Drosophila melanogaster: one gene and its partners. The protein of the gene in region 1 interacts with the protein of each later gene in a pairwise test. Each region holds a gene or a part of one and is shown in the gene's direction. Other genes may lie near its edges.

Region 1 (10,325 bases):
TTGACAAGCAGTAATTTAAAGAAGACTCTTTGATATAGGGTTGTTTATTATTGAAATGTAATTGCAGTTTACTTTTGATTTTTCTTTACGAATCGATAAAGTCCTTGAGTGTTTATTTTCCTAATCTTTAGACACTCGACTTAGGATATTAAGACTTAATTTACCTCCGCGACTGCAAAGCGATGAAAGTATGTATGTATGTACCCCCGTGGCAGGTTCTTCAATTAAGGCCCCCGGCTCCAGCAGCAACATAATCTCCATCTCCATCTCCCAATTCCGCTGCACTGCATCAGCTGCCGTGGGGCGATTACGCACGACGTCTGGCCGAAGAGCGGACCCCATGAGTACGGATCCGTGCCACCCAAATGGTCAAGTGGCCGGTGGACTATGGCGCGAACGGACGCGATCGGTAATCGAATTAGGTAAACAAACACTCCATAAGGCGGGCGTACGTTGATAATGTGTGCATAAGCAAATAGGAGACCGTATTGGGATTGGAATTGGGATTGGGATTGGGGCTGGAACTCTGCGCTGGACGGATGGATTGGATGGACTGCGATGGATGGGGAGATCTCGAGGAGCGGGTTGCGATTGCGGCGGCGATGACGGGCGAAAAAAAACTAAATGAAATTTCATTTAGGTGGTCGCCAACGGCTGCGGACCATCTGCTTGTGTGAATGCTTGATTGTTGAAGTGCCACTTGATGGGGCGAGGGCGCACGCTACTCGCGGGGATTACACTGGCCAAAATTGGGATCAAATGGTTACGAAATATGTATATACCATATATAACACTATTCCATAGAGACCATTGATTCAACTCTTTAAATATTGCTATAGATCTTGAGTAAACTAGTAAAAAAAAATCGTAAAAAATATTTTTAAAAATTTCAGACTTTAATTAAGAACTCTTACTGTCAAGTTAAGACAAAAAAATGTTGTAAGAAGATAATTCTGTTACTTTAAATTATCCCAGAAAACAATGGAATGAAAAATATCTCAGTGCTGAAAGGTTTCTTTGGTTGCTGAGCAATATGGGTCACCGGTTTACGCAATTTCTTACCGTGCAGCGATCGGTATCCAGATATTATTTACTTAGTAAATTATTCCTGTTCGATTGTTTGCGTTTGCTCTGGATCTCTGGCATGAGGGCACTCGAACGTCATCGTCAGCAGCGTTTCATTCATGATTCGCCTTTCACAAATCGAAGAAACATATATGCACGAGTGTTCGGTGCATTGTGCACTTTGCATTCGAACAGACAAATAAATACAAAGGCAGTTCTGATCAGCTTAGTGAGACATCTCATTATCGCCAGGTGATTCTGCTGAACCATATCGTTTCGCATCCAGATTTCTGCACTCGCTCCTCTTTCCACCCGATCCCATCCCATCCCAACTGATCTCATCCCATCTCATTCCATTGGGGAATCATTTCAGGTAATTGCTTTTTAACTCGACTCTCAGCTTTCAGCTTTCATCTTTCAGCTTCCAATTCGAATCCTGCATCGCCGGGAGCCACTCAATCCGTGGGCTTTGATGCAATTTGGCTTCTGTGCAGGCCACTCTGCCACTTGGTGTAGCCCGTTTCTGCCCCGTTCTGTTCTGAGAGTTGCGAGCTGCGAGCTGTGATCTGTGTGGCTCCCCGATCACGCCATGTGTAGTTTAGTTGCAGTTTCGATTCACATCGGATTGCCTTGCCCAGGCAGCACATCAATCATCCATCACGCACCAAAGGCCGGGAGACAACGACCCAAAACGGGCAGTGCAAACCTGAATGGCAAACGGCCCATGCCACGCATGCGATTTATACGTGTCCAAGGTTCACTCTGGATCGCAATGGATGCAATTTGGCCACTTCACTGCACATTTGACCGGATTAAAATTCCTTTCAAATGGCTATATGCTACTAAGCTCTTTTAAATTGCAGGCATTTTAGTTATTGTTATTTAGCGATCATTTTATGTTATCTTTCAATGCAATAAACGATTTAGTTTGTTTAAAAAGGACTTTCAGGCTTAAATCTTCTTTTAATAAGTTTATGTTTAAAAATCGAGTTTTAATTGCAATTGGTCAGTTTAAAAGCGGAATAGTAGTTATGAAGTCCACAAAAAGGAAGCAATTTAATGCTTTTCTGTTTTATTATAATGCTAATGTTTATATTTTGCTGAGGTATTATTTACCAATTATTTATATATATTTTTTTGTCTTTCTCCTGAGTAGAATCAAATAAAAAGTAAAACAAACATACCATACTGCCATTTTATTGATACAATATTACAGCTATTTTAATAATTTCGAAATAAAATATTTTATTATTATTATTTATTTTAGAAGTGTAAGCAAAAAGCCAAACTTCTTTTCAGTCTTTAGCCTTAATTGTTAGAGATTATACATATGCATGAACTTTTGTAAATGTAGCTCATTTGTACACAGATCGATATGATAATCAAGAGTTGGTATTTGAAAGTGCCTACTTATTGGGGCCATGGTCTCTGGCTTAAAGTAACGATAAATTGAATGCATTACTCAACAGTAAAGATTACGAACTAAATGTTCCTAAATGGTACAATTTAAGCTGTACGGTTAATTCAATCAATTAGAATATTACATTAGGCGAGAAATGCACCTAAAGGTTGACTTCAAACGTGCTATGGTATCCCAACTACATTTGTAGTTAAAATTAAAGGGTTCCCCAACTCCTCTTTCTCTTCTTATTCTGGTTCTTCTTCTTGTCACTTCCCCAAAGCGTTCGCTCTCTCTCACACTCACTGCTCTTCATTCGTCTGCTTCTTCTTCTTCTTCTTGCCACTGTTTATACTCAGCACTTTACCAACAACGAGTTTATAATTGTTTGATTTGTGTGCGCGCATAGTGTGCATGTGGTTGTCCCGCTCTCGCGCAGAAGAGCGAGAGAGCAAGAGTTTGCCTCAACGGGCGCCATTATGAAAGTACGGTACTCGTAAACCGGTTGGCGTTTCGAAAAGCACTCAAAAGCGGAGTGAAACTGTTCGAGTGGAGCGGAGTGACCCGGGTGACCAGGTGAAATTCAAGCGCTCATTGTGCTGAGAGCAGCTTTCGCGTGAACAACGTTTCAACGGAGCGCAGTGTTCGCAAGAAATTCGATAAAAACAAATTCTATAATAAAAATAAGAGCAAGAGATACGCAGGAGCGTTTTCTAACTGTTTCTGTCGGGATCGACTGTCGTGCATTTGTCACTGTGTGTGTATCTGTGTGCGTGTGTATGCGAGTGTGTGAGTGAGCAGCACGCTATGAATCCAATTGACCGCATTGCGTTTCCATTTCCGTTTCCGGTTGCATTCGCTATAATCGATACCTCTGCCTTGGATGTGCGACACTTGTGACTGTGATTGTGTTATACCCAAATAAAATTAATAAAATAAACAAATATAAAATAACAATAAATAATAAAGAGAATTGGAAAGAGCGATTCTTAGACATGTTGATTGAGCCGACTTTAAACCGTGACCTTGGCTCGCTTACTGTCGCTAATTCTGGCCTCTCGGCCGCGCACTGGAAAATGGAGCCCCATCCCCAACGCATCACATCGCTGGCCCCTCACGCTTCCAGTGGTAAGTGCCCCAAAGTGCCCATGTGAAGTCTTGCCGACGGCAAAGCCAGGCTTGGGGATTTTAAGAAAATATACACAAATCTTCAAAAAATAAATCCGAAACTGGGTCAAAGGTGTAATATGTCATTCGATAGCAAATCCGGAATGTTCGAATTTTAATTTAAACAAATTAGTTCTTTCGCGATAAAACCTAAAATCTATTATTGAAATTATGTATAACTAATAACTAAGCATCGTTTAAATTAGTGTGTTAAAACGGTGTTTCGGTTAAAGTATTAAATAAAGTATCAAACTGGGTCAAATGTGTTTATGTGTAATTCTTAACCAGATCCATTTAGTTTGAATATAGTTGGTGTTAACTTTTCGCTGTAAAACAAACAATTTTTTATTTAAATGGTATATGGTAGATAAATTATGTAAATTATCAAATTGATCATACAAAGGTCTATGTAAAACTAACTTTGAGTGCCTTTTTATTTTCTTAAACAGAAGATAAAATAAGTGTGATCCTTTATAATATTTCTAGTTTAAACAATGTGGGCCATTTATAAGAAAGCGATTAAAATTTGTCATGTTCGTACTTAGTATGTTCATAACAAATGTTTTATGTTATTCCAACTTAAATCTTCAGTTAAAACAAACACAAATCGTTACGCATGTCACATTACCAATTGCGTGGCTCATTTGACAGTCCCATTTCCTTGCTTTTCACCTTTAAATAGACCGAAATAAACAAAACTGGTTCTCATTTGATGGGCGGCACAATTGATTATGGGCCCATATACTTACATATATGTATATTCAGTTAGGCACGACTGGAGGTGCGCGTATTTTTTTAAAAATATTTACTTGACAAACAACAAAAGTGAAACGCGCATTTAAAACGCTAATTGACAATTTGAGCGACGAGTTGCCCAAGCCGAATGATATATGTAGGTTTTTTAAGCGAAGGCAAATATAATATTCTGTCGAATTAACGTAATACACAGTTGTTTTTCTACTTGTTTTTTGCTTTCTTTTCGTATCCAGCTGAGTACATATTTTAATTTTCGCCTTTTGTACTAAGAGATCATTGTCGTATCAATTAGCTTGATAAATCTGCTCGTGCCTGGAAGATTCGATTGCGTGTCGCCACCATTTTGGCCATTCGATCAGCTTAGACATTTGCTGGGGTAATAGAAACGCTAATATATTCGTAGGACCCATCAGTCATTTCGGTTCGGTCAACACAATTAACGCTTAATTTATCATAATTAACCATTGTGGCCGCGACAGCTAAAGCCACAATAAAATAACAATACCCAATTATCATTCAATTGCAGTAGCGGCGGCATCCGTGGCAGCAGCAGCAGCAGCAGCAGCGGCAGCGGCAGCAGCGGCGGCCGGAGCGGGATCGGGAGCGGTAGCCGGTGGCGGAGGGGCCACATCCACATCACCCACATCTGTGCAAATACCACCCGGCTTTGGCGGCGGCGGCTCCACTGGCGGCATTCCGCACGGTGCAGGTGGACCCACGGGGAGCACATTGAACACCCTGATGTCACAGCATCGCCTCCTGGAATTCTCACGTTTCGGTGGACTGCGTGGCTATGACATTGCCCAGCACATGCTAACCCAGCAGGGAGCTGTCTCCAAGTTGCTAGGTGAGTTGTGAGCCCTTGAAAGGGACGACCGCTCAGTTTCTCAGTTCCTTCCCTCATCAGATAACTAATGGGTACTTTGTTTTCGATTTGTTTGCTAATTTTTATGATAAACATGTTATTATCCTGCGAGTTGCCCCTACCATCCCCTGCGTGGCGTATCCCTCGTGTGCGCAGCCGTGTAATTTGGCCACTTAAAATTGCATAAACTCCTGACTGGCGGTGGCCAAAACGCGGCTGGCTCATTAATCAAAATGCGGCTTATTCACGAGCGGGTATTCCTTGGTGGTAGTGTTGGTTGGTGCGTGCTGCCGTGCACTGAAAGAAAAAAATGCTTAATTCCAAATAAGGATATGTGATCACATTTATTCCATGTTTAGAATTTTTTAAGTCTTTTAAACCCGTCATTACAGTAACTTTAAGTAGTTAAAATCACTCATTTTTAAGTTTTCCAATTCTTGAGCTGCTCTGGTTTCTACCAGTGTATTTGCCAAGGCTTGTATTGTTTTCCCATTCATATTTTCCATACATCACATGTTGATGAAACGAGCAGATAAAGATATTAGCAACCAGGGTTAATCCTTGCTGCCAGCCAAAAACAGATGGATTGCCAAAACCAGGCTGGCAAAGTCATAAATCCATTGTCTCATAATTTAACTGGAATTGTGCTCTGATTCTTGCAGGCTCGCTGCGACCACCGGGCTTAATTGGTGGCTCAAAGCCCAAGGTGGCCACGCCGACGGTCGTCTCCAAGATCGAACAGTACAAGCGCGAGAATCCAACGATCTTCGCCTGGGAGATACGAGAACGCCTGATTTCGGAGGGTGAGTGTTCCACATAATTGCAGCTAATCCGCGGACGCAGATTGAACGCTGATTGATCGGCGGTCGCTTTTAGCTTTTGATCTCGATCTTCGACTGCTCGGTAATTGCGTAATCCCGCCTTGCAGGTGTCTGCACTAATGCCACCGCTCCATCGGTGAGCAGCATCAATCGCATCCTGCGCAATCGAGCCGCCGAGCGGGTGGCCACCGAGTTTGCTCGCACCGCCGCCTATGGCCTGTACCCGCCACCCCCTCATCCGTACGGTAGCTTCACCTGGCATCCGGCCGGCAATGTGCCCGGCGGCCAGGGGGTACCACCACCGCCACCTCCATCCGCCCTGTGGTCCGTTGCCGCTCCCACGCTCGCCAATCTGCCTCCGAGTGCAGCGAGCGCTGTGCCCGTCTCCACTTGTGGCTCCCTCAGTTCGGCGCACTTGATGGCCGGCGGAGCAGGTGGCACACCAACCAATCGGGCCATCTCCCCTGGCTCTGGCAGCCATGATACCTTGGAATCAGCGGATGAGAACCGGCACATAGACTCCGATTATCTGGATGACGATGATGAGCCCAAGTTCAGGCGGAATCGGACCACCTTCAGTCCGGAGCAGTTGGAGGAGCTGGAGAAGGAGTTCGACAAGAGTCATTATCCTTGTGTGAGCACCAGGGAGCGGTTGTCCAGTCGCACCAGCTTGAGCGAGGCAAGAGTTCAGGTGAGTCAGGTGAAAACAAAGGCTTCACTCAAAACTTTCAAAAAGCAAGATTAAAAGTGGCTAGTAAAGTAGTTACATACCATTTGATTTAAATTAATGAGTAAATCAATACTTTTATATCAGAAATTAGAGTTACCTCTTTCAAAGCCAATTAACCAAAACCTCAAATAACTAATCTTTATTAAATATCATTTATTTCTACCCTTTCCAGGTGTGGTTCTCCAATCGCCGGGCTAAATGGCGTCGCCACCAACGCATGAATCTCCTGAAGCGTCAGCGCTCCAGTCCCGCCAATCCGCTGCACTCGCAGCAGTCGAACGATGCACCGGCCAGTTCGCCCACGCCCAGTAACCACAGCAGTGCCTCCACCTCCGCTCCAGTGGCTCCCGTGCCGCCACCTCAGCAGCCGTTGCCCCTGTGCGGTGACCACTCGCCACAGGGTCCGCCACCTTCGGTGCTGTTACACCCACTGCATGGTCCTCCGGGCGGCCACCATCACCATCATCCTCTGCACCTACCCACGCATCCAGCTGCCCTCCAGCTGCTCAGCCACTACCACCAGCAGCAGCAACAGCAACAACAGCAGCAGCATCAGCAGCAGCAGCAGCAACATCATCAACAACAACAGCAACTCTCACCCAGTGGATGCAATCCGGCGGCGAATCACCTCTCCATGGGCGGGGAGCGTAGTGCCTTCAGGAGTCTGGTGAGCTCGCCCTCGGCGGCTGCCTTCCTGGGATTGGCCAGGCAATATGCCGTGGCTGCATCATTAACGGTCGCCGAGGAGCAGCGCTCCAGATTGCACTACTCCGCAGGTGGTTTGGGGAGCGGTGGTGAGGGCACGGGACCCAATACCAACACCACTCAATCTGGCGGCTCAACCATGACGGTGGACAACTCGTCATCGGACTCGGATGAGGAGATCAACGTGCACGACGATTCCGATGGTGAAATTGAGTCGTCGGCGGCAACGGCGGCAAAGGTGGCTCGCCTGTCATCCTCCGATGCGCCGGCCACGTTGCAATTCCTAAAGCATGACCGCTAGATGGGCGACATGGGCGACAAGGGCCACCTGGTCTAGATGGGCGGCGGCAAAGTCTAATTGAAAACCTGAGTTGTGCGCGCCTCTGTGATTGACAGTGGCAACAAAAACAAAAGCAGCAAAAGCAACAGCAACTACTGATGCAATTGCAATTGCATTTGAAATTGCAACTGGTGGACTGAAATACGAGAAGCGACTACACACACAGTGGGCAAACAAATCGAAAAACCAAAGTTAAAATGCTGCTCACCTACTTGGCTGCGGTTCGGGGTCGCTAGAAAAAAGAAAAAAAAAACTAAATAAAAATAGAAAAAAGTAAACAGAAAAATGTAGCAGAAAGCAGCAGCAACAACATAATGGGCGGCTTAAGATTAGCTGAAATTGTAACTAATACCCGATACGAACACGCTTGTCCCACTTGAAATGCACATGCCCATTGTATACCCTATAGTTATGCATAATTATACTATAATACTTGTTCATTCGCCGGCTGCCGACTTACCTCATCACCATTTAAGGCTATAGCATATGCAATATCTAACTATATGTAACTTTAAACTTTAAAATAGTCCTAAGCCAAATCTATTTATGAATGCGTATTGTTTAAGGATTTGATTCTTGAGTTGGTTGCGTTTGAACTGATATTTAGTGCGTAGACTAAGTGTTTTTGGCTCAAATAAAAGAAAAAAACTAAAATGGTCAACCGCTGAGTGAGAAACCAATAAAAAGTGCAAGAAATAATGAAGAATCGTTTACTTTCTTTCGGCAATAAACAAACAGAAATATATGACCAGGAAATCGGTTTGTATAGACTCGCTTTGGTTTGACAACAAATACAATTTATACGTTCGATTTCACGCATAATTATCCATTCAAACACACTGGGCAACAAACAAACACACCAAACACGGCCGAAAAGCATAAATAAGCATTTAACAACACTCGAAAGCTTCTTAAAACGTTATTAAATATTAATACACCGAACGAAGACAGAACAAAAAGCCAAACGAAATCGAAATCAAAAAAAAAAAAAAAAAAAAAAAAAATCCAAATCCAAAATACGCGCATAGAAAACGCTTAAATTTCGAACGTAATGGCCAATATGTCCAAATCTGGCTGATAACATCGACATTTTAATTATAACCAAATGAAGCCGCGCGCACAAACACAGTGGGGACAGACTAAACGCGACGAGGAGATGAGAATGGATGGTATGGTTTGGTATCATATGGTATCGTATGGGGACCGATTAAAAATGCCGAACCAACTAAGCACATAAATCAATGTAAATTATGGTGTTAACAAAAGGCGAGCTTGCAGGCTTGGATTGGATCCGATCCGATCGGTTGGAATGGGATCGGTTTGGATCGTTGACTTTTGTAGGTTGGTTAACCGGGTGGATGCGCGTCTTTATTTCTGGCCTGGCCGAGATTTAAATGAGCTCCTCGCATCTGATAAGCGAAAGAGCGTGGAGCACCATTCGTGTCGATACTTACAGCTCCGAACGGAATCGGGATCGGGATTGGAAGTTGTGGACTAGGGGGTATTGGGGGATTTGAGAATTTTGGGCTCGGGAATGGTCATCGGGTGTCCACAAATTCAATTTGCTTGGGCTTTTATGAGCAAATGGCCCAGCCCCATCTCCATCGCCATACCACCAATCGACTTATTCTAATTTAGTGCGGAGCTCTGCTCGTGAGCATTCCTTTAATAAATTTAAATCACCTTCTATTGAAAATATTTTCACCTCGGGCCCATAAATTATACATTATACGATATTTATACAGTCTGCGCCACGTCTGTGCTATATATATACATATATACATACAATATATGTATATTCGGCTTTTATTTGCCTTTTGGGTTCGCGCTCATTCAGTGATTTCGTTTAGTGTACTTAACTTTGATTTGACGGCCTGGGGATTCCATCAACGTGATTTTCGGCTCCAAGGGATTCGCTGGAGGATGCCTTGGTTTGATGGACCAGGGCAAAGTGGCGCTCTCATGAGCGCCATATAATCGCGCAGTCAAACATTTTTACGATGCAGCATCTCAAGCTCGTATATCCAGCAACCTCGACGAGCTGATCAGTTGGCCACTTGATGGGCCACGAGGATCCTGCAGATTGTCCTGCAACTTTGTTGCCAAATCTTTGTTGCCCGCTGTTGGGTATGAGCAGTTTTTATTGTCTTGGGTTGGCGGAAATCGATGAACTTTACCAAGGCTCCACCGACGGACTCGAAGTACACAGATAAAAATTTCATTAAATAGAAATATGATTAATACGATATACCTATAACTTAAAAAATCATTTTTATTTGAACTTATTAGAATGAATCTGCCATTCTAATTTAATCAGTATTTATCAATAAAAAGTGTCCCTCCGACAACATTCAACATTTTCTATACACAATTTTTTCCAGTGCATGTGTGTCTTTTGTGCCTCCATTGGCAAGGAGCCGGTGATAAATCTGTTGGCGAGCCGGCGCAACATCGCCATTGCATACTTCTAAATGGAC
Region 2 (5,857 bases), on another chromosome or scaffold:
CACAAGCACAGCACTTTTGCGCACTCACTTCGACAAATTGTTACTCGCTTTGTTGTTGGTTTTTGTTTTTATGTTAATTTTTACTTACTCCTGCGCCTGTGCTAAAAACTGAATCTAAATTACAGTGCATAAACAAACGGAACGGGAAAATAAATAAATTATCACACGCAAAACACACACACGCGTCTCCCAAAAGGAAAACAACAAAAACAATAAAGTGCTATCGCCAATCGGCTTAGACACGGCCTATCGATAGTGAGTGTTCGATAACCGTTTGATGCTGTGGACAGCCCATGTGGAAAGTGTCATCGCTAAGTAGCCAGCTGTTTGTGAAATGTTTGTTTTTCAAGCAAAATTAAGCATTTTTAAGAGAAATTAAACAGTTTTACAGTTAAATAAATTGAACATTTAAGATGCCCAAGGTTCGCCGCAGTCGCAAACCACCGCCAGACGGTTGGGAGCTGATCGAACCAACTCTCGAGGAACTGGAGCAAAAAATGCGCGAAGGTAAGGACAAGCGTGGCGGCTTCTGTGATAATGAAAACTTTACTATAATCCTATACGTATATTATTAACCTTCTTAAACAGCCGAAACGGAACCGCACGAGGGCAAACGCATTACGGAATCCCTTTGGCCCATTTTCAAGATCCACCACCAGAAGACACGATACATCTACGATCTATTCTATCGCCGGAAAGCCATCAGCCGGGAATTGTACGACTACTGTCTGAAGGAGAAGATTGCCGATGGCAATCTGATTGCCAAGTGGAAGAAGTCTGGATACGAGAACCTATGCTGCCTGCGCTGCATTCAAACGAGGGACACCAATTTCGGCACGAACTGCATATGCCGGGTGCCCAAATGCAAACTGGAAGAGGGTCGGATCGTTGAGTGTGTCCACTGCGGTTGTCGCGGCTGCTCCGGTTAGATTCCATGTGGACGCATTATTGGCATCTTTATTCGACACAAATAATCCTCATAATACATAGTTCAGTAGGTTCAACTTTAGATTTCGCCTGATTTCTTCATAGTATGTAAATACATTTAAATACAAGCCACAATTATGGTTAATGGCATGCTAAACATCTAAATAGATGCTGCAATAAACCGATTATGTAAACGACAAGGCATCGTTGGGAAATGCGTTCCGATTTGTTTAAAAAAAAATGTAGAAATGGTATGAGCAGACATTTTTGTATTAGAATGTATAGAAAAGATAGAAATTAACTTGTAGTTTAATCAAATAAATAAAGATTATAATTTATGAAAATGTTTAAAAGCATTTAATAAATTAAATTTCCTACATATGTCGAAGTGGAGTTTTGAATATTAACTTAAATATATTCCTTTTTTTATAATCTAGCCATCTCAATATGTGAGTTGTGAAAATTTCTGTAGTAAAATATGCAATTTACGTACGTCCTTCTAATGATTTCACAGCTTTTCTTTAAACGATATATACTATACATACATATATTTTAATTTAATGCCTTGGACAATTTATTGCTGCGCTGACATAATTCAAACTCAATGTCGTTTTCGGGGATGTGGCGGAGTCTCCTTCATGTGCGTCCATTTATCGTCGCCTTGCTCCTCGATTTTCAGTACTCTTTCTAAGGGTATAGTGTTTCTTTATTGTCCGAAAATGGAAGCCCTAGTTCAACATTTGAGTATATAGAAATAAGAGTATATACATATTTCCTTGAGTCATCCAATTCAGCTAGAGTATTCCGGCCATCGGCATTCCCAACTTATTCTCAAGCTGAAAACTGTCAGGCTTCAAGTGTTCCTGCGGGGTTTGGTTTGGTTTTGGGTGGCCAATTGGGATTTGGTCGAAAATGATTATAAATGGTTTTTTAATTATACTTGTCTGCATATTTTCTCATTTGCCAAACAAACGCGGCGCTGTCGATTTTATTGTTCACATGGCAAATGGTTAATGCCGAATGGAAAATGGTAAAATGCGAAAAATGGAAAAATTATTGCCCGTCTGCCGCTGACAGCTTGCCCCCATCTGGCTGAAATGGGGGATTTCGAATTAAAACTGCTTTCGGTCACTAAAAATACTCAATTGTTTTGCCAATTACCCAGCGGAGTTATTTATGCCAGTTATGTAATTCGAGTGGCACACATGTGCAGCGTTGTAAATTGAAATACATGAAAATGGAGCAAGTGGAAAGTATATTTTGGGTACTTGCAGTGTTATAACATTTTACTGCTTTTTGTTCAACAATTAATTGGTTATTTAATTAGCATAAGTTGCTGCTTGCGTCATATTGTTCTATAATATTGCTAGTTAAATATTACATTACATCAGCCAGAGATAGCAACTATTTATGGATTTTGAGTTTGGTCCACCAAACTCTATTACATATTATTCTCAGCCAAAGGGATTTCTGGTTTAACCCTTTGAGGCCTGCTAAGCAGGTCGCTGAACCCCTCATCGTTTCGAGGGCTGTTAAATTAATTAATAGACTAAATGCGGTCGGTTCGGCTGGTTAATCCCACGACAACAAGCCGCAACTTGTTTGCCACCACGTCGAAAGTGGCTCCTTGAAATGGCTACCTGATGCGGGAAACCCACTTCCAGATGGGTTGATCCGGAATGGACAAATAGCAACTTTAGCAGGTAGCAATGGCAATCGATATTGGTGTCTCTTATCGCATAATGCCGCCTGATCCCACCCGCTTGACATGCTCGTATTTGCCCAAGCAGGTTGATTTTCCACATAGCCCAACATTTGTTGACTCATTTCGGCTGCTAGATAAGGCGCGAATCGGCAAATGGATGGTGATAGACGAACAGCCCAGCTTGACCTTGGGATTATTGTGGATTTAATGACGCCCTTATCAGTTGCATTGAATCGTATCTCTTGGCTTAGAATATCTTTTATATTATGGGGAGTATTTGCATACCGACATACATATGTATGTAGGTAGCCATTGAAGAAACCCACATATTGGTTCGCACCTGATCCTTTTGTTTTTAAATTTGACCAATTATCAGGTAGACTCAGTGCGTCTGCTACCCTAATCCCTTTGTTTACATATCTGCGATTCGTTGGCCAATCCGGATGCAGGTAGGCGGTGTCCAGCAAGGCGACAAGATTGAGGAAAACAAGATCATAAATCCCAGTGACCGCCATTCATGAAGGTAGAACCCGCGAATAACCCATCCAGTGTCCAATGGCAAGCTACCTGCGGAAATGGTATAAAACGGGGCTGACATATTGCCTAAGGCAGCATTAGCACACGAAATCTCGACGAGAGCAGTCACAGACCACGTCACACATCGAAAAAAATCACCATGGAACGGAGTCATCTTTACTTGCCCACTCTGAGCTACGCGGCCATGGGTCACGTATACGCACCGTATCGCGGAAGCAGTTCACCCGCACTATCGACAGCATCGTCAACATCATCGAAGCCGGAGCAGATCGAGGAGCTGGTGTCCCAGCAGCTGCATCATCTCAAAATGCACTACGCCGACGAGGAGCAACGCTACGTAGACCAGATGCTCCTGGAGAATCCCATTGTTGTGGAGCGCCGTGCACCGCCGCCGCTGAAAACGGAGCTTGCTATGGATTGCCGCGGATCGGGTTCCGGATCAGGTTCCGGTTCTGGTTCGGATGTCAAGGATGCCCAGCGTCAGAGGGCCGAGTCGTGCCGCAAATCCCGCTACAACAACAAGATCAAGAAGGCCAAGCTGCGCTTCCGGCACAAATTCGTCAGCGGGCAGCTGAAGAAGAGCGCCGTCATGTTGGACACGATGCGGGATGTGATTGCCCAGGCGGAGAGGCAGCTGCTCGAGCGGGGATATCCCGCCGCCACACTCGAGCGGATGCGGGCCACTTTCGGCCTGGAAATGGAGCAGTGATATCATAGTGTAGCTATGTGTCGCAGGAACGGATCCCTGACTAGTCCAGCATTAGCCATACCACTTTTTTTTTTTGTTGACTATATCTAGTATTTATCTAAGCATATTATTAAATTTTTAAATAAAATTAAGAATCATATTGAAAACGAATGCTTTCTTATTCAAATATTTGTTATAGGTTCACACGATCATATGGAGTCAAGGATAACTTGTTAATTTCACTTTACAAGAATTTCCCATAATTTGGATGCATTTATTCTGCATTTAACGCATCGGCAGTCTTGGGGTTTCCTTCGCCTGGCCGAAGGTAATCCCATCGGAATTGGGCCAATGCAATGCACCCATTTCGACTTGCTTAAGTTCAGTTCATTTGATCCGACATGATTGCACTTCGCTTTCCCCGTTTCACGTTTTTCCCCCTTTCCATTCTTTTTTTCCCTTTTTTTTTTTGGCTTGCGAACAATTTGCGTTGCCAAAAGCAGCAAATGCAATGGAAGTAATGGCCTTAAGAGCAGGTTTCTGTAAGAGATTGTGGCTAAATTTAGTGGGGCTACTACTGCAAATAGCACCCCACTTTCTGGTTGGTGTTTTCATTTAAGAACTGCGAACTGAACTTGGAAGCTTTACTAAATGCTTGCCAAGGGTATATACTATGTATATATATATACAATATAATTTTAATAACTACATATATTTTTTAAGTAATTTCTCATAATATCTTGATGTCTGCGTAATGAGAAGGATAAATATAGATACTTCTGATTGTTTTTTACCCCAAAAAGTTATTCTATTTCACGCCGTATCTTTTCAACTCTTTAGGTATCAGTTAGTCGTTACTACTGTTCACAGATATTTTTTAATAGCACAACATTAAGAATGAATGGAGGAGCAAATAATAGGAATGTAAAAACGAGAGTATAAAACGCATTTCGCCACAATGGCCAATCGAATTTCAAGCTGATGCTCGCTCAAAAATTTCATTTTCACGTGCCAGGTTACAAATGATTTCATCGCTGCAGTTTTCCTCCGGCTAAATCCCCACTATCCCCCCATTTCCCTGGATTTTCCAACTTTCTGTTGCTGCTTCTTAACTACGCACGTCTCACTCTTATTCGTTCACTCAAGTGCACACAATTCAGCGATTCAACGTCATCAGTGCGGGGAAAGGTACTTCGTGTACCTAACTGTGGTACAGCATTAATTTTGTTACCTAAAGGCGATATTATGAGCTACAAATATATGTATATTAAATGAAATTAAAAAAAAGACTTTTCTACTTTAAAATACGGAAAACTTTTGAAATAATTTTCAATATTTGAGTACAGTTATTAATGTGCTGTCCACCACTGTTTGTCATAATACTAAATGGTTGAAACTTTGCACCCACTTCACCCATCTCTTTCTTCCCGCACAACGCTCTCTCTTTCACTCCCTCTTGTAAAGTGCCGGAAAAGAACTTCAATTTGATTTTATCGCTCGGCCATAAAAGCTCAGCTCGTTTGTGTTGAATGCAGTCGAAGAATTTCAGAAATGAAAAGAAAACCGGGAGTGATGAAGGCCATCCAGATGCTATGGTAAAAATGGGTAGTATTACCAGAAGTAGATGGCGCTGCAAAACAGATCAGTATATCGTTTTCTGTAAGAAAGTATCTAAAGACGAGTATCTGAAGGAAAGTATTTGAAGGAAAGTATCTGAAGGAACGAATCTGAAGGAACGTATCTGAAGGAAAGTGTTTGAAGGAAAGTATCTAAAGGAATGTATACAAAGGAAAGTATCCAAAGGAATGTAACTGAAGTAAAGTATCTTTATCACGCAATCACACATAAAAGTAAAATTGCTTCACAAATAGTTAAAATATTGCTGCCTACTTTTCAGCTGATTAATGAAAAAGTACCTAATATCTAAATCCTTTTTCCAGACTTCCTCTCACATTACATAGGTATTCACATGAAACTACCAGTTGGCGAACAGCACTGAT
Region 3 (7,636 bases), on another chromosome or scaffold:
TGTTTCTTAACTTTGAGCTACAAGTGTGACAATATTATTAATAAAGCCACAAAACCGGCTTCGTACAAATCGGCTGCTTTGAAAACTAACTCAAACTCAATTTTAAATAGGTATCGAATATCTCATGACTTTTTGCAACTATTTCCCTTAAATCAATTAGCAATAGAAAAATAATCAATCATTAAACGAGTATCAACACCAAAACATATCACGTTCTTAGGGTCTGTTGTTGGGAGATTTAAAAACCTGCGAAAAGTATGTTTCTTAAAATGTATGTAACAGATTAGTTAGGTAAGTCTCCGCTGCTAACTATAACTACGACTTGCTTCCAACTAAGGCGTGGCCAGTGGTTCCGGTAATAGCAGCTTGACGGCTGTTCTATTCGCCACCATTTGCGCTGCGCTTGATTTGTACAATTAGATTGCTTAAAGGCCACTCCCCTTCTCTTCAGTTCCTACCCCAAACGTTGGTGAACGGGAAGGTCACCACGCTATTACTTGTACTTTTGTTTGCAATGAGAAAGACTTCTAGTGTTGTTTCTAAAGACGAAAGAGCAAGAAAATAAAATAAGAAGTTATGTTAAACTATTTAACAATCTGAAAATTCTGTATATAGTTTTTTCAATTCCTAACTAAAAGCATTGACTCTTATTGATATTTGTTCAATGTCTGATATGATATTAAAGTAAAGACAAAATATATTTGGCGTTTAGCTTAACAAATCGTTGATAAAAGTTTATCCAACTATTTTGATTCGTAGGTGTGACTGCATACTTGTCCATTTTTGTTATAACTGAAACATAATTAATTTTATTTATTGTCATTAGAAAGGCAACTGCATGCGCTGTCCAAAAGTGGACCCATTAAAGTCAAAATACTTTCAAAATGCTTGGCTTAAGGCACAAAAAAGTTTGTGCGCGAAGGAATTTCATGACAATCGAACGAAATTTGCTTATCATTGAGTTAGAGGCTGAAATAAATTTGACCACAAGTAGCCGATGTGGAATTGTATTAACAAGGGCATTAATGTAGTATGGCATGTCCCAAACACCTAAGACAAAGATTGCCATACACCAGAAGTCACCAAGAGAGCTGCGTTTGAAAATAATACTATTAACTATGATGTATCCACAGTGTTTACAATTTTTCTCTCACTACAATTTTTGACATTTTTGATTTGTCACTCACTTCATTGATTAAATTTAATGCTTCAACATTTCGTAAAACTATATGATTTAATTAAGTGTTTAACGGCAATGACTTTTTCAATTAACGGAACTATTGTATTTTTGTCTTCCATTTATTATTCAAGAGTTAAGCACAATGCTCCAATATTTCAAGTATACCATAAACTGAAGGCTCTGACCGATTCGAATTGCATGTGTAAGCAAAGTGCGGGTTTACTTGTCGGGTAACCACTTTATCGAAAACATTATAGGCGAGTTTTGAGGGCCAACAATTTGACAATCATTTTCCGTTGAGCTTTTTCTGTCTGAATCAACTTGCGATATCTTAATGCGTGCTAACTATTGACCATATTTTGACAGGTTTCATATACATAACAGAAGAAATATTTGTTTCAGGAAACGGAGTTATTACGGTTCATTAATGAGTTTGCCAAATCGCCTGTTTTACCAAACGTGGCCAAAGTGTTCTTGGTATACCGATAGAAATTTACAAGGGTTATAATAAAATAAAAAAAAATCTCAAAAACTTTTTAAAAGTGTGCGCGTGGCAGCTTTTGGGGGTTTGTGGGCATTAGAAGGAACGCCGCCAAAGTGTTCTTAGTATAACGATAGCTATGGGCGGTCTGTGGGCGTAAGAGTGGGCGTGGAAAAAATGGATTTGGCAAATGAATATAAATTTACAAGACTGATGAAAATATACAAAAAAATATGCAACAATTTTTCAAAAATGTGGGCGTAGCAGTTTCGGGTTGCTTGAGGTCGTTACAGTGGGTGTGGCAACATGGGACAACAAACTTGCGCTGCGTCCATGTCACTAGAATATGTATGCTGAATCTCAACCTTCTAGCTTTAATAGTTCCTGAGAACTCGACGTTAATACGGACGGACAAGCCTGATCGACTCTGCCAATGGTCTTGATAAAGTATTTGTATATTTTATATGGTCCGAAACGTTTAGTTCAAGATACACTTCGTTACACACTTTTTAATATAGTAACGGAAATAATTAAATAATTTCCTAAACAAAGTCAAAAATATTCAATGCAACAAAACACCTCGCCCTCCATTCACAGAAAAAATCGTGTGAAACACAATCCAGCAAAAATAAATTAATAAATAAAGAATTAGATTAATTCGCATGCCTTGCTCAAACCATCAGCCATCGCCGTTCACCAGAACCCCTTTACTTCAGCTGTTGTTTTACAGCTTTTGCTTGGCTTTGGTTGGCTGCTTTGGCCTAGTTCTTGGTCGTTGCCATGTTTTCAACTCGGTTTTACTTTCAATTCTATGGTTCGAAATTGGCCACTTTACTTTAGACTTTAGAGTAAAGCTATATGTTGGGCATATAAATCGAATTTATCAAGGGCAATTCAGCTGGGTGGTATTAATTCTAAAAGTGATTGAGTGGTCTTCCTTCGATCCCATGCTTGACATGGATTCAAGTCCAAGCCCATGTTGAAGTAGTAAGCATTCTTTAATTTAAGCACCGTAATCCACTATCGAGCGATCCAGAAACCTGCTGCTAAACGAAAATGTAACGAAAAAGGTAACAACATTTCACAATCGCCTTGGTAAATAGTTTCCCAGCCTTCGTTGGCTAGAGGGTGGATATTGTTGTAGTTTCAGAAAACAATAAACAAAGCCCGCTCCCCGCTTGTAGATAGCTTGAAACTGATGGGGAGCTTTGGATGAAATTCTCAGTAAAATGTTGAAATTCACTAAGAATATGGGTCTGGACTACATTTTTCTGATAACTTGTATAACTTGTAAAACGTAGCAAAGCTGCAATGGCGCAAGCGTTAACTTTACTCTTACTTTCAAAAGCTTAAGAGATACAAACGACTCCGCGCGGGTGCAGCAACAACTTGAACAGTCTGTTAATGTAAAGTAACAGTCGGGGCCAAGCGTGGCGCAGACCAAGCTTGGCCCAAAAGCCAGACTTCGAAACTTGGTTGGCTGGCTGCGCTTGCCCAGAGTCTCAAGACACTCGTCCGCACAGTCGCGCTGTATAGTTGTTTCGATTAGGACGTGTGGTTCGCTTAAGCGCACGGTAAGCAGAGACGCTCGAGGGTCACCCGAACTTGTCAGGCGGTCTAAACTGTTTGCAATAAGCCACAATCAATTTTTGGGCTTTCGATTGCTAATTTATTTCGTAAACGCGTCGAAATAAAGTCCACCTCTGACTGGACATTGCAACCAGCCAAAAATTTAACATTTTGTAGAAAGCAGTTTTAACTGCATTTTGCAGTTTAGTCGAAGAGCTCAAGCGTGTGTGTCGGTGGTAAGCTAACTTTGCGTTAAAAAGAAAGTTTACGCTAAATATATATACAAGCTTCGACAAACAAAATAAAAACGTGCAGGTTTTGTTTTATTTTGTTTCGCATTTTCCTCTACGCGCTACAGACTAGTTCATACAGAGTTTTCCAATATGGAGGTGCCCGCGATACCGTACGGGAAATCTAAATCAAACACCGATCTTCGATTTGATCTCTTTGCATTTTTGTCTAGCAATCTTTTCCATGGTAACTACAAAACGAACAGCGGTCATTGCAGTCTCACGTGAAAGAAACTAAAAAACCTAACTAAAAATCGCTTGCCAAAAGCAATGGAGGAAAACTAAGTGTTGTAATCTGTAAACGTGTGTGTTAGCTATGCATCGTCGCGTTGGTTAAAGCCAAACGAAAGCTCGAATAATAGGGGCAGAAACTAAATCTGCTTACAACAATACAAACATGTCCTAACCAAGTGAAGGCACAGCCACAAAGCCGCAGTCGCGGCATAAGCCAGACACACCATTAAGAAAACTGTAACACAAGGCTCAAAAAATCTAAATTGAAAAATTGCGACACTGCCTTCTTAGTTATTTAGCAATTGTTTTCAACAAAACAGAGGTTTTCTCAACGGTAACTGCCTCCGTCATCGGTACGGTGGCTGCTGCTGCTCCCCACTTCCCGCGCTTCCAACCACTATTTTTATCCGAGCTTGCCTATGGTATTTTAAATTCTGTGAACTAACCCCAAAACGAAACTGAACCAACCACATCAAGAAAATTTACAGTTACAGTTACGACGACACGCCATACCTGCAATATGAAGTATTCAACAAGTCGAATAAACATTCTGTGCCTGCTGGGATTGTGCCTACTGCTTTTTAAAACAGGTGAGTAATGCCCACTTCAGTGAAGAACACTCTGCTAGAAATACAAATGGAGGCAAAAACTTAAAAGAGCAAAGGGCTTACACACTTTACCCACTAGTCCTAGAAGAGTTAGCACTTAACCAGATTTTAAGACAACCATGGATAAGTATTCAGTTCATGTATGAACTGAAATCTTTTTTTAAACGTAGATCCGAAAAAGTTTTATTTTTAAGTGAATTGTTTTTACAGTACTATGGATTCTTCTTTTCCTCAATCATATTCGAAACTTCGTGATAGAAATATTATGTTCCGCAAATAAAGCCAAACTTGTTTTGAACACTGTTCCGGCTGCCATGTACGAGCTCGCAATAGTCTAATGTCAAATTCAATCACCGTAGAAGAAGTCAAACCACCAGCTGTTAACCACTTGTGTTGAGCTCTATTGTGGATACTCCGGCTCCGGCTAAACGAGTTTCTTAATATGTCCAAAAATGTATATTTATTTTAATATATATATATATATATATATATTAAGACATTTTACTGCGAAATGTGTTAGGATATATAAAAAGTAAGAGTATTTACATTAGGGTATGTATGGAGGTAAATACATGGTCTGATCAACTGCTCTATTTACCAGCGAACAATAACATAATCAAGCATTTCGACCATAACAAGCCTTACCGTGTCCAACTATTGGTCACTTGGGCTGTCTACTCACCATACTGCTGGGTAATGGTAATGGAATTATGTAAGTTATCAGCCAGCAGCCAACCAAGCAGCTTATGACACAGATATTAATTGCATACAGCTCGCTGACTCGATTGAATAGGTTCACTAAGTGAGTGAGTGTATCGGTGTAACCGAGCAAATTGTGGCTATAATAACTGTTGATAATTTTTAAAACAGTTTGCTTAATTGTTCAGACATTTTTTATGAATGATATATATGCAAAATTTGAGAAAACAAATTGGGAACTACGAAAATTGCTTAGATAACGTGGTAAGGATTAACACTATTAAAATTATAATAACAGCATTAGACGGCTAAATTGTTTTGAGATAGATTTTTTGTATTACCTTTGTGGCCTTATAAAGTGCATATATGTATCTTATTCATAACATATTAGTAAAAACAGCGAACTTGAAATAGCCAAGCCCGGCTGTCCGATCGTCCTCTTTTAAACAATTTATAATCTATCTGCTATACCGATTCGGTCGTTGATACTTAGCAAGAAATATATATACCATATATGGGCACAATTGTGTCCTTCACAGCTTTGAAATTTCTGACTTAAGTGAATGTACCCTCCGCAAGGGTATGAAGACTTGCATGACTTGGTTTAGGCATAGTGGCAACACTTTCCATTTTGATGAACTTTCTCAGTGTTTTGAGTGGTGTTTTTTTAAGCCACAGAAATATATATTTGGGTAAAACCTTAGATATGCCGCCATGGAAATATTTTCATGCGTAATTGCTAGGAAATTTGTGTTAAAACATTTGATGTACTACTGGTTTAATGCGAATGTCGATGGCTGAAAGAAAAAGGTTTGAGGCGGACGAGGCCAATGGCGAAAGTTGAACATTTGCAAGAACATTTGTTTAAGCGCGTGTTTAATGAATAGTATAACAAAGGGGTTTTAATCATAATTCAGTTTCAATGCCAGTTAAACCATTAGTATGGTGGTCACGCCTCGACCTAATCATTTCGTCTCTTTTTTACCGCAGGCAGTGTCAATGCTTACCGTGCGAAAGTTTTGGCGCACGCGGAAGATCGTCATTAAATTACTTCGCTAGGTCTTTGACTGTAACCTGAACACTTTATACGAGCATGTACGACCATTGGCATGGCGCAACTTTGTTTTGCATGCACACAGTGCACTTTCGCTTTCAAGCAGTATTCCAGCGAGTCTGAGGCAAGCTTGAATAAATTTGCACACAGCAATGGTAATCCCTGGATTTCGCAAGGCTCCAGATAATTTGCGTTGAATTGGACGTCGAAATTGTTGTCGGCACAGTACGAGGAGTACCAATAGACTACCAAACGGCAACACCCAACTTTTCTTAGCTTCTGCGCCTGCCCTTACAAGCTTGTTGTTTACGGCGCTACTCACCTTGAAATGCTTACGCATTACAGTTGAAAATTATTTTTGCTACGAAATGGGCAATCTATTAAAACATTGCGTTAAGCCGACGACGTCCATATCCGTAGCACATGTAAATAGAGCTCTTGACGTCTCTATGCACCGTATCGTGAAATTAAATGGGGCCCGACGCAGCTGCTCCACTTAACCCTCTTACACCAATCTTGTTACGGCAAAGTAACTTTCTTTTACGGCAAAAAGCCGCTGTAAACTTTTATTTTGTATAGCCTTTCTATCCTATATCTACGACCACATTAATTGAGCAGTATCAACGGCCGGCTCTATATAGCCGTGTCCGTTCGTCTATTTCTACGCAAACTGATCTCACAGTTTTAATGCTATTTGCTGCATAAACCTTTTTGATCATAACATTTTTCTTATTCGATTATTCGAAGGGTTTAGATGATTCGGCTTGTCGAAGCTAGCTTCCAATGTCCATATAATTTTTATTAAGATTGAAGATTTTACTGATACTTGAAGGATTTTCTAACACAAATATTTCCTTAGCTCGCTCTTTTTTTTACAGAAGTTAATTGTGATTGTTTTGCTTGGCAATCGATGGTCCGGCACACGGTTTGCTTATGTCAGTCGAGGCTTTTTCGTCTCCTTTGTGGGTATAAACTGGATTTTGCAGATGTTGAATGCATCGACCTTGACGAGATTGCCGTTGGGATTCCGTTTTTGTTGTTGTGTTTTGTGTTTGTTTCGTAGACCACTGCTTGGTAAATTTAAGTGGAATTGACGCTAAAGGCTCTCAAGGGCAAACTGCAGCAGGTCAGCTGCTCTCCTCTGTTAAGCACTCGGATACGCAACTTTTTCATTTATAATATATTTTACGGCACCGCAAAATGGTATGCTGTTCACCTTTCACTTTCACCAAACCCAATATGACTCCAATACGTATTAGTGAGCTCGCTTTAATAACGGTTGTCGGCCTCATAGTGACAAAATGTTGGCCGGCACGGTACGATTATGTGAGCCTATCGATTAGCGGTGCCCTGTGATTGCATAATCGCACTCATCTGTTTCGTTAGAGCATCATTAAGTGCTTGGTTTTAAACGTAATACTTAGCAGGCTGCCGTCGGGTATTCGAATACCATAAGAACAGTGCATTTTAATTCGTCCGCGCATTATGTGAATAATTGTAAGGGTATAAAGGTATAATGCT
Region 4 (6,332 bases), 6.1 Mb from region 1:
CGTCTGGGCTATCAAAACAATGACCAATGTCTGGTCGTAAGTTGGTTGGGCGTTTTTTGCCCTTAATATGAACCCAACAACAATCCTTATAGTGCATAATTAAACTTTGCAAGGATTTAGAGTCAGACAGCGGGACATACCTCGGGACCGCCGTGTTTTTTGTTTTTTTGACACTCTACCCGGGTGAGTCTAAATTTTAGGCTCTCTACTTTCTCTTTCGTTCTTCTTATAATCTAAAACAACATTTATTATAAACTGGATTTTAAATGATTAGGATTTTTGCTATAAAGGTTGAAGGACAAGCCATGACTAGAATTTTACTCAAATTGACGGAATTGATAGCATTTTTGAGTTTATACACATATAATATATATTATAGCTTCTGTAAATGTGCCGTGTAAAGTGTGAGACTTCTGGCGATAATTTAGTTGTTTGGCTTCGCCACTGCTCACTGAATTATTGATGCCCCTTAAAACGCATTCCTATCCTGAGAGTCCTGGACTTCTGGCTCCGTGCTGAATTTCAAATGGCAACGCATTCCTGCGACGCTTGTTTTGTGCCTCGTTGGTTATCCAATCGACATCGGTCGTCGTCCTGGAGTACTTCCAGACCAATTTGCTGGATCCCTCATCTGGCATTGTGTCCTGTTTACTCACGCGCCGTTCTAATAATCCAATTTTCACGTGTTGACTTACGTGTTGTGACACTTGAGTTTGGCCCTTGGGGAAATGTACTCTGTTGCTGAACTGATATAGTAAATGTTGTCATGCAGTCTTGCAATGTTTCTTTAAGATTTTAAATCCTTTGTCTGTACAAATCAATTTTCGATCGAACTATTGGAAACCAAATATTCTCTGACATATTCTTTCCAAGTTATAATAATGGGTACGTTCTAATGGGTACAGCTATTGCTTAATCCAGAAATATATTATTAATATATTTTTTCGATTTCACTCTCATTAAACCCGATGGCTAATTAGAAAGGGTTTTTTTCATTAGGTTTTTGATTATTCCGTCTACCTGAATTTCAAGAAAAGCTGTTTATTTTAACATTTTTGATTGTGGTTTTTCATGGAAAAACTGAATAGGAACTACAAAATTGTTCAGAAATTATTGGGGAAGCCACTCTGTCAATTAAATAAGTAAAAGCGCACTAAAGCGTTATTGAATTCGTTTCAATTCAAAACTAATTTGACCAGTATCAATTCGTATCAATATTTGATAGTATCAATAACATAAATGAAGTAGCTATAATAATTATTTGTTTGCGAGGATTCTAGGATAATCTTATAATTTTGTTCCAGAATGTTATTTCCATGCGGGTGATACCACCACTCGCCTCTCTATTTAAGATTATTGAAAATGTATCTGTCTGAAAAACCTATCATTTTTTTTTTTTTTTTTTTTTTTATTTAATTTTTATTATTTATTGAATCTTCTCTTTGTGTTAAGAGACTAACAATAAGTGTTCAAATCTTAATCTAACTTAATTAACTTTCACTTAGTGATAGTTTTTTTTTTTCATTAATGCCCTAATAAGTTTATTGCTGGGCTGGGAGGTCGTTGCGGTGCAGCCGGCTTTGACTGCATACTCGGATTAGTTTTCTTGCGAGGGGATTTGTATGGGTGGTCAGCTTTTCGTTATACTTCGTTTTTTTTCTCAGCTATTACTTCGATTACTAATTTGATTTTTAGGTCTCTGTGTATGTTTTCGTTCCGAAGGTACCACGGCGCTCCAGTGATAATTCTCAGAATTCTTGACTGTGCTCGCTGAATAATGTCTATGTTACTTCTGGATGCGTTGCCCCACAGCTCGGAGCCATAAGTCCAGATAGGTTTTAAGACGGAGTTGTATAGAAGAGCTTTGAACTCCAGACTAAGTGGAGAGCGAGCATTTATGAGCCAGTGGAGGTTCCTTGCTTTAAGTTTAAGATGTTTCGATTTGGCTTCTATATGTTTGCGCCAAGTGAGCCGCCTGTCCAGATGAACACCCAGATATGTTACCTCGTCGGCTTGTGGAATGCATATGTTATTCAAGACCAGTGGTGGGCATGTTTGTTTGTTTAAGGTAAAGGTAACCTGCTTGCATTTTTGAACATTTATTGAAATTCTCCAGTCGGCAAGCCATCGTTCTACAGATGATAAGTGTCGGGATAGGAGTGCCGTGGCTTTTATTGGGCATTTGGAGCGACTGAGTATCGCGGTATCATCAGCGAACGTGGAGGTTGTTAGATTGTAGTCTATGGGGAAATCCGCCGTATACAGGGTGTATAAGATTGGATCCAGTACACTGCCTTGCGGCACTCCAGCTTCGATTGCGCAATCGCGTGAAGTGCTTGTATCGCATCTTATTGCAAACACTCTGTTATATAGGTATGACTTCAGTAGCTTATGTGTGTTTTGGGGCAACAGCTTGATTATTTTAAACAAAAGTCCATCGAGCCACACTCTGTCAAATGCCTGCGCGACGTCTAGAAAAATGGCTGTGCAGTATTCTCGATGTTCAAAAGCAGTACGAATTTCTGACGTGATTCGGTTGACCTGTTCGATGGTTCCATGTTTTTCTCTAAAGCCAAATTGATGTGTTGGAAGTGTGTTGTTTATTCTAAGATGAGGGCTAATCCGAAGGAGTAGCATTTTTTCAAACAGCTTTGAAAGACATGTTAGTAAGCTTATCGGTCTATATGATGATGGCTGCGTTTTATCTTTTCCTGGCTTTGGAATCATTACTATGGTCGACTTTTTCCATTTTTGAGGGAAGTATCCAAGCTTATCGATTGCGTTGAACAACAGGCAGATGTGAAGAATAGCACACTTTGGGAGTTCAATGAGCATTCTTGGAGTTATTAGGTCGTAGCCAGGCGATTTTCTTGGGTTCAGTTGCTCTTTGATAACCTTTGCTAGTTCACATGGTCGGAATTCAAAGGGTTCTTGAGGATCTAGATTGGCTGCTATTAAAGGAGGGAGAATAAATGTGTTGGTAGAGGGATTTGGTCGGAATACATTTTGTAAATGGTCAGCGAAAGCACAGGCTCTTTCTTCATCACTTCGAAACCAGGTGCCAGAGGGACTTCGTAGTGGCATAATTGGCGCTATTGGAGTCTTTAGGTTTCTGTGAGCTCTCCAAAGAGGGTACTTAGTGCTGGTGGGAGAGAGTTGCTCGATATATGAACGTTGGCTGTTTTTTTCCTCTTGTTTGAGAGCATTGGTAAGCCTGCGTGTGGGTATCTTAAGCATGTGCTTTGTAATTGGTGATCTATTAGACTGCCAATCCCTTCGTAGGCGTCGTTTATCTAATACCAGCCGCTCTATCATTTTTAAAACAGATTATACCGTATACACCTATACCTAATAAAACTTTATGACCGCGCAGCTGCTGTTGTACTCAATTATTAGCACAACTTGAATGCTCATAAAATATATGACGGATTAGGTAAAAGGAAAATCCACAAGTAGATTTGTAACACCAAAGGATATATGTACCTTCACAGTCTACCTGTTACCCTGTAGTACTAGTTTGTATATAAGCCAGGTGGACGAAGATAAGGATATCACTCAGCAACTGAATCTTGCCATAGATACATCTCAGTGCTTCCGGAGCAAACTGAAAGAGTAATCATCTATTTGTGCCTGAAATTGGTAAATCGTCCAACAAAGCTATATCCACCTTTAGTTTTCGAATCCAAAGTTTCCATATCTCAATCATGTTCGACGAGCCCATAATCTCCAGCTTCGTTTTTACCAACGAGGAGACCACGCAGACATTCCACCACCAGTGGTTTTCCCAGGGCCAGTTACACGAATGTGCCACCTGCTACAGCTCCATCGACGCAGATGAGCCGCCCTCCCAGCATTGGCTGCGGGGAGGAGAAGCATCACAGGGCTTGCATCTTACCAAGCAACAGCAGGCCGTTATGGATATTATCGAGGCCCGCCAGATCGAGACTTTCTTCTTCTGCGACGAGAGTTCCAAGGACAAGCTGGAACACTTCATGGGCGAGACCTGTGCGAGGGGAATCCCCGAGCTTCTCCGCTGGATGTTCCAGAACAACACCGTGGCCGTGGAGTTCAATCTGGCCTGCTACGTGAACGCCATGGACCAGGTGTTGATCTTTCAGAGCGGCTCGCTGAGGGCGGACCACCACTACGACGTAGACGAATCCGTGGGCGTGGTCTACGAGATGCTTATGCAGAGGATTGAAAACTACCTCAACTGCAGCAGCGAGTACGGCATGGCAGAGTGCAGCATCACCAGATTGAAAGTACAGGTGAAGAGGATTAGGGTGGAGGCGGACGGTCAGTCAGCGGACTCGTCCGTCTTCGCCCTACCCCTGCAGCTTCAGGAGGAGGAGGGCCTGACCGCCACTACCGGCTGCTCCACCAGCGAGGCAGAGCTTGCCAGTCTGCGCTCCGCCTACCTGAAGCACTTCCGCGAGTGCAACGGCTACTTCCCGCCCAACATGCGCGTCAATCTCTACGGACTGCAGCAGTGCAAGACCACCAAGGAGCTGTATGTGGTGCCCTATCATATCAGCGAAACCCTCCAGCAGCTGCCCAACAAGAACTTCCTCATCCTGAACAATATCATGGGCCAATTCCAGCGGCTCCACGAGCTCTCCACCCCCGTCAATTCCATCGAAAGGGATCAGACCAGCTCGCCGCTAAAGGACCTCCACTGCCGGAGGTGTCGCACCCAGTTCTCGCGACGCAGCAAACTGCACATCCACCAGAAGCTGCGCTGTGGCCAGGACTTCTCCGTGGACAGCATGCACGCGGACATCGTGGAGATCTACGAGCAGTGCCTGCCCATCTCGAGAAGCGTCTTCCAGCACGCCTGCTACGGCATCACCAAGCCCAAGACCATGATGCGGAAGGGTCAGTTTGTGCCCATCGAGTGCGACTGGCGCAGCGAGAGCTCCGTGAAGGTGCAGCACGGCCCGTGTGTCGTCATCAGCAACGCCCAGCACAATAGTCCTTGTAAATTTTATTAAATAAACGATAACTTTTAAGCTGAAACTTAATTCTTTCTTTTAACCAGGGGGTAAATCAATGTAAGGGTAGTGGCGGTTGCAATAATAGCTAATAACTTTTAATAATAGGTGAAAATTTTTAGGAATTTTATACGTTTTATTGCAAAGCCAAACGTTTAAGACAATATTTATTATTAATTGTGAGCACCTCTCGCCACTGTCGTTGGCAGACATCCAGACATCTCCGCGACAGGAGTACGTGACCGAGTACGGGACCGACTGCAAAAATATTAACCACTGTTGTTAACCAGATTAAATAAAATACTAACATTTGTAACTAACATGCTTGTACCTATATTTGTAGCCCCAACTATATGTGTGCGAATGCAACAGGCTGATTTATTAATGAGCGCAGGATTTTGGCTTTCTCAGGGCAGATAGCCAACAGTTTTAATATGTATGCTACGTCTGATTTACCACCCTTATATTAAATCAATAATTTAATATTCCCTGCCGTCGATTTCACCAAACTTGACGCCTTTCTTCTCTGAGTTCTTCCACTCGATAATTTATAAGACCTTTATAAGTCCTGTAGATCTACGATCGTCGATCGATTTAATGCTATAAACGGTCTCAATTTTAAGCCAATCTGTGTACTTTCTTTGAATAGCTTCAGATTTCTATTGCAAGCAGTCCATTTTTGCGACAATCTGTAGCACAAGTTTTTGCAATGTTTCTTAATCTGTCCTCATTATCATCAAATACTAAATAAAGCGATTGAGATTTTATATACATGTATGTATATCCAGTATTGTCTTCTCTCTTGCACGTTTACTCGCAGCAGATCACCAAATAAATATTTCCGCATTTGAGAACCTGAAGTTGCGACCTAAAAACGTTAATTATGAACAAGAATTGAATTACCAACAACACAGTATATAGTATATTATAGTGAAGTTAGGTGAAGTTCCTTACTTGACTAAAACCTTATTTATTTCGTTAGTCCGTCCGATTCTCGACGGATCACCTGTTTGGAGTCCACAATACGCAGTCCACTCGGACAGCATTGAATCGGTCCAAAAAAATTCTTACTTTTTGCCTTGCGGCGCCTAAATTGGGATGCAAACCGTATATTACCTCCTTATTCTAGTATACTACTTTTAATTAATTTACCGCCCCTAGCTAAACGTAGAACTATGCTTGGAACAGTCTTTATTTGTAAGCTTATTCGTGGGGATGTTGAGAGTCCCGACTTGATTAGTCGGCTTATTTTCTCGGTTACAAGTAGATTCACTAGAAACTATATACCCCTTATCTTAAATCATTGTAGATCTAACTATGAGTTGCATGACCCTTACAGAG

The links.
Region 2: the proteins of eyg (region 1) and sisA interact in a two-hybrid assay, tested with the Drosophila melanogaster proteins (one large-scale study listed by BioGRID).
Region 3: the proteins of eyg (region 1) and Cda5 interact in a two-hybrid assay, tested with the Drosophila melanogaster proteins (one large-scale study listed by BioGRID).
Region 4: the proteins of eyg (region 1) and term interact in a two-hybrid assay, tested with the Drosophila melanogaster proteins (one large-scale study listed by BioGRID).

The regions. Positions count from the first base shown.
Region 1 is NT_037436.4:12,460,753-12,471,077, reverse strand, and holds eyg (eyegone), read left to right. Parts: upstream 1-3,056; 5' UTR 3,057-3,459; coding exon 3,460-3,592; intron 3,593-4,913; coding exon 4,914-5,234; intron 5,235-5,914; coding exon 5,915-6,055; intron 6,056-6,180; coding exon 6,181-6,764; intron 6,765-6,975; coding exon 6,976-7,809; 3' UTR 7,810-8,541; downstream 8,542-10,325. Other genes in the region: CG32102 (uncharacterized protein), read left to right, coding at 1,655-1,921.
Region 2 is NC_004354.4:11,319,742-11,325,598, reverse strand, and holds sisA (sisterless A), read left to right. Parts: upstream 1-3,241; 5' UTR 3,242-3,308; coding exon 3,309-3,878; 3' UTR 3,879-4,020; downstream 4,021-5,857. Other genes in the region: l(1)10Bb (lethal (1) 10Bb), read left to right, coding at 414-507, 589-929. UniProt on the Drosophila melanogaster protein: Involved in sex determination and dosage compensation. Required for proper expression of Sxl in embryonic somatic cells. Also has an essential function in the yolk nuclei. Involved in endoderm migration and midgut formation.
Region 3 is NT_033779.5:54,789-62,424, reverse strand, and holds the start of Cda5 (chitin deacetylase-like 5), read left to right. Parts: upstream 1-3,156; 5' UTR 3,157-3,235; exon of another isoform or gene 3,236-3,466; intron 3,467-3,693; exon of another isoform or gene 3,694-4,176; intron 4,177-4,231; exon of another isoform or gene 4,232-4,242; 5' UTR 4,243-4,274; coding exon 4,275-4,344; intron 4,345-6,657; exon of another isoform or gene 6,658-7,608; intron 7,609-7,636.
Region 4 is NT_037436.4:18,590,984-18,597,315, reverse strand, and holds term (terminus), read left to right. Parts: upstream 1-3,544; 5' UTR 3,545-3,704; coding exon 3,705-4,991; 3' UTR 4,992-5,013; downstream 5,014-6,332.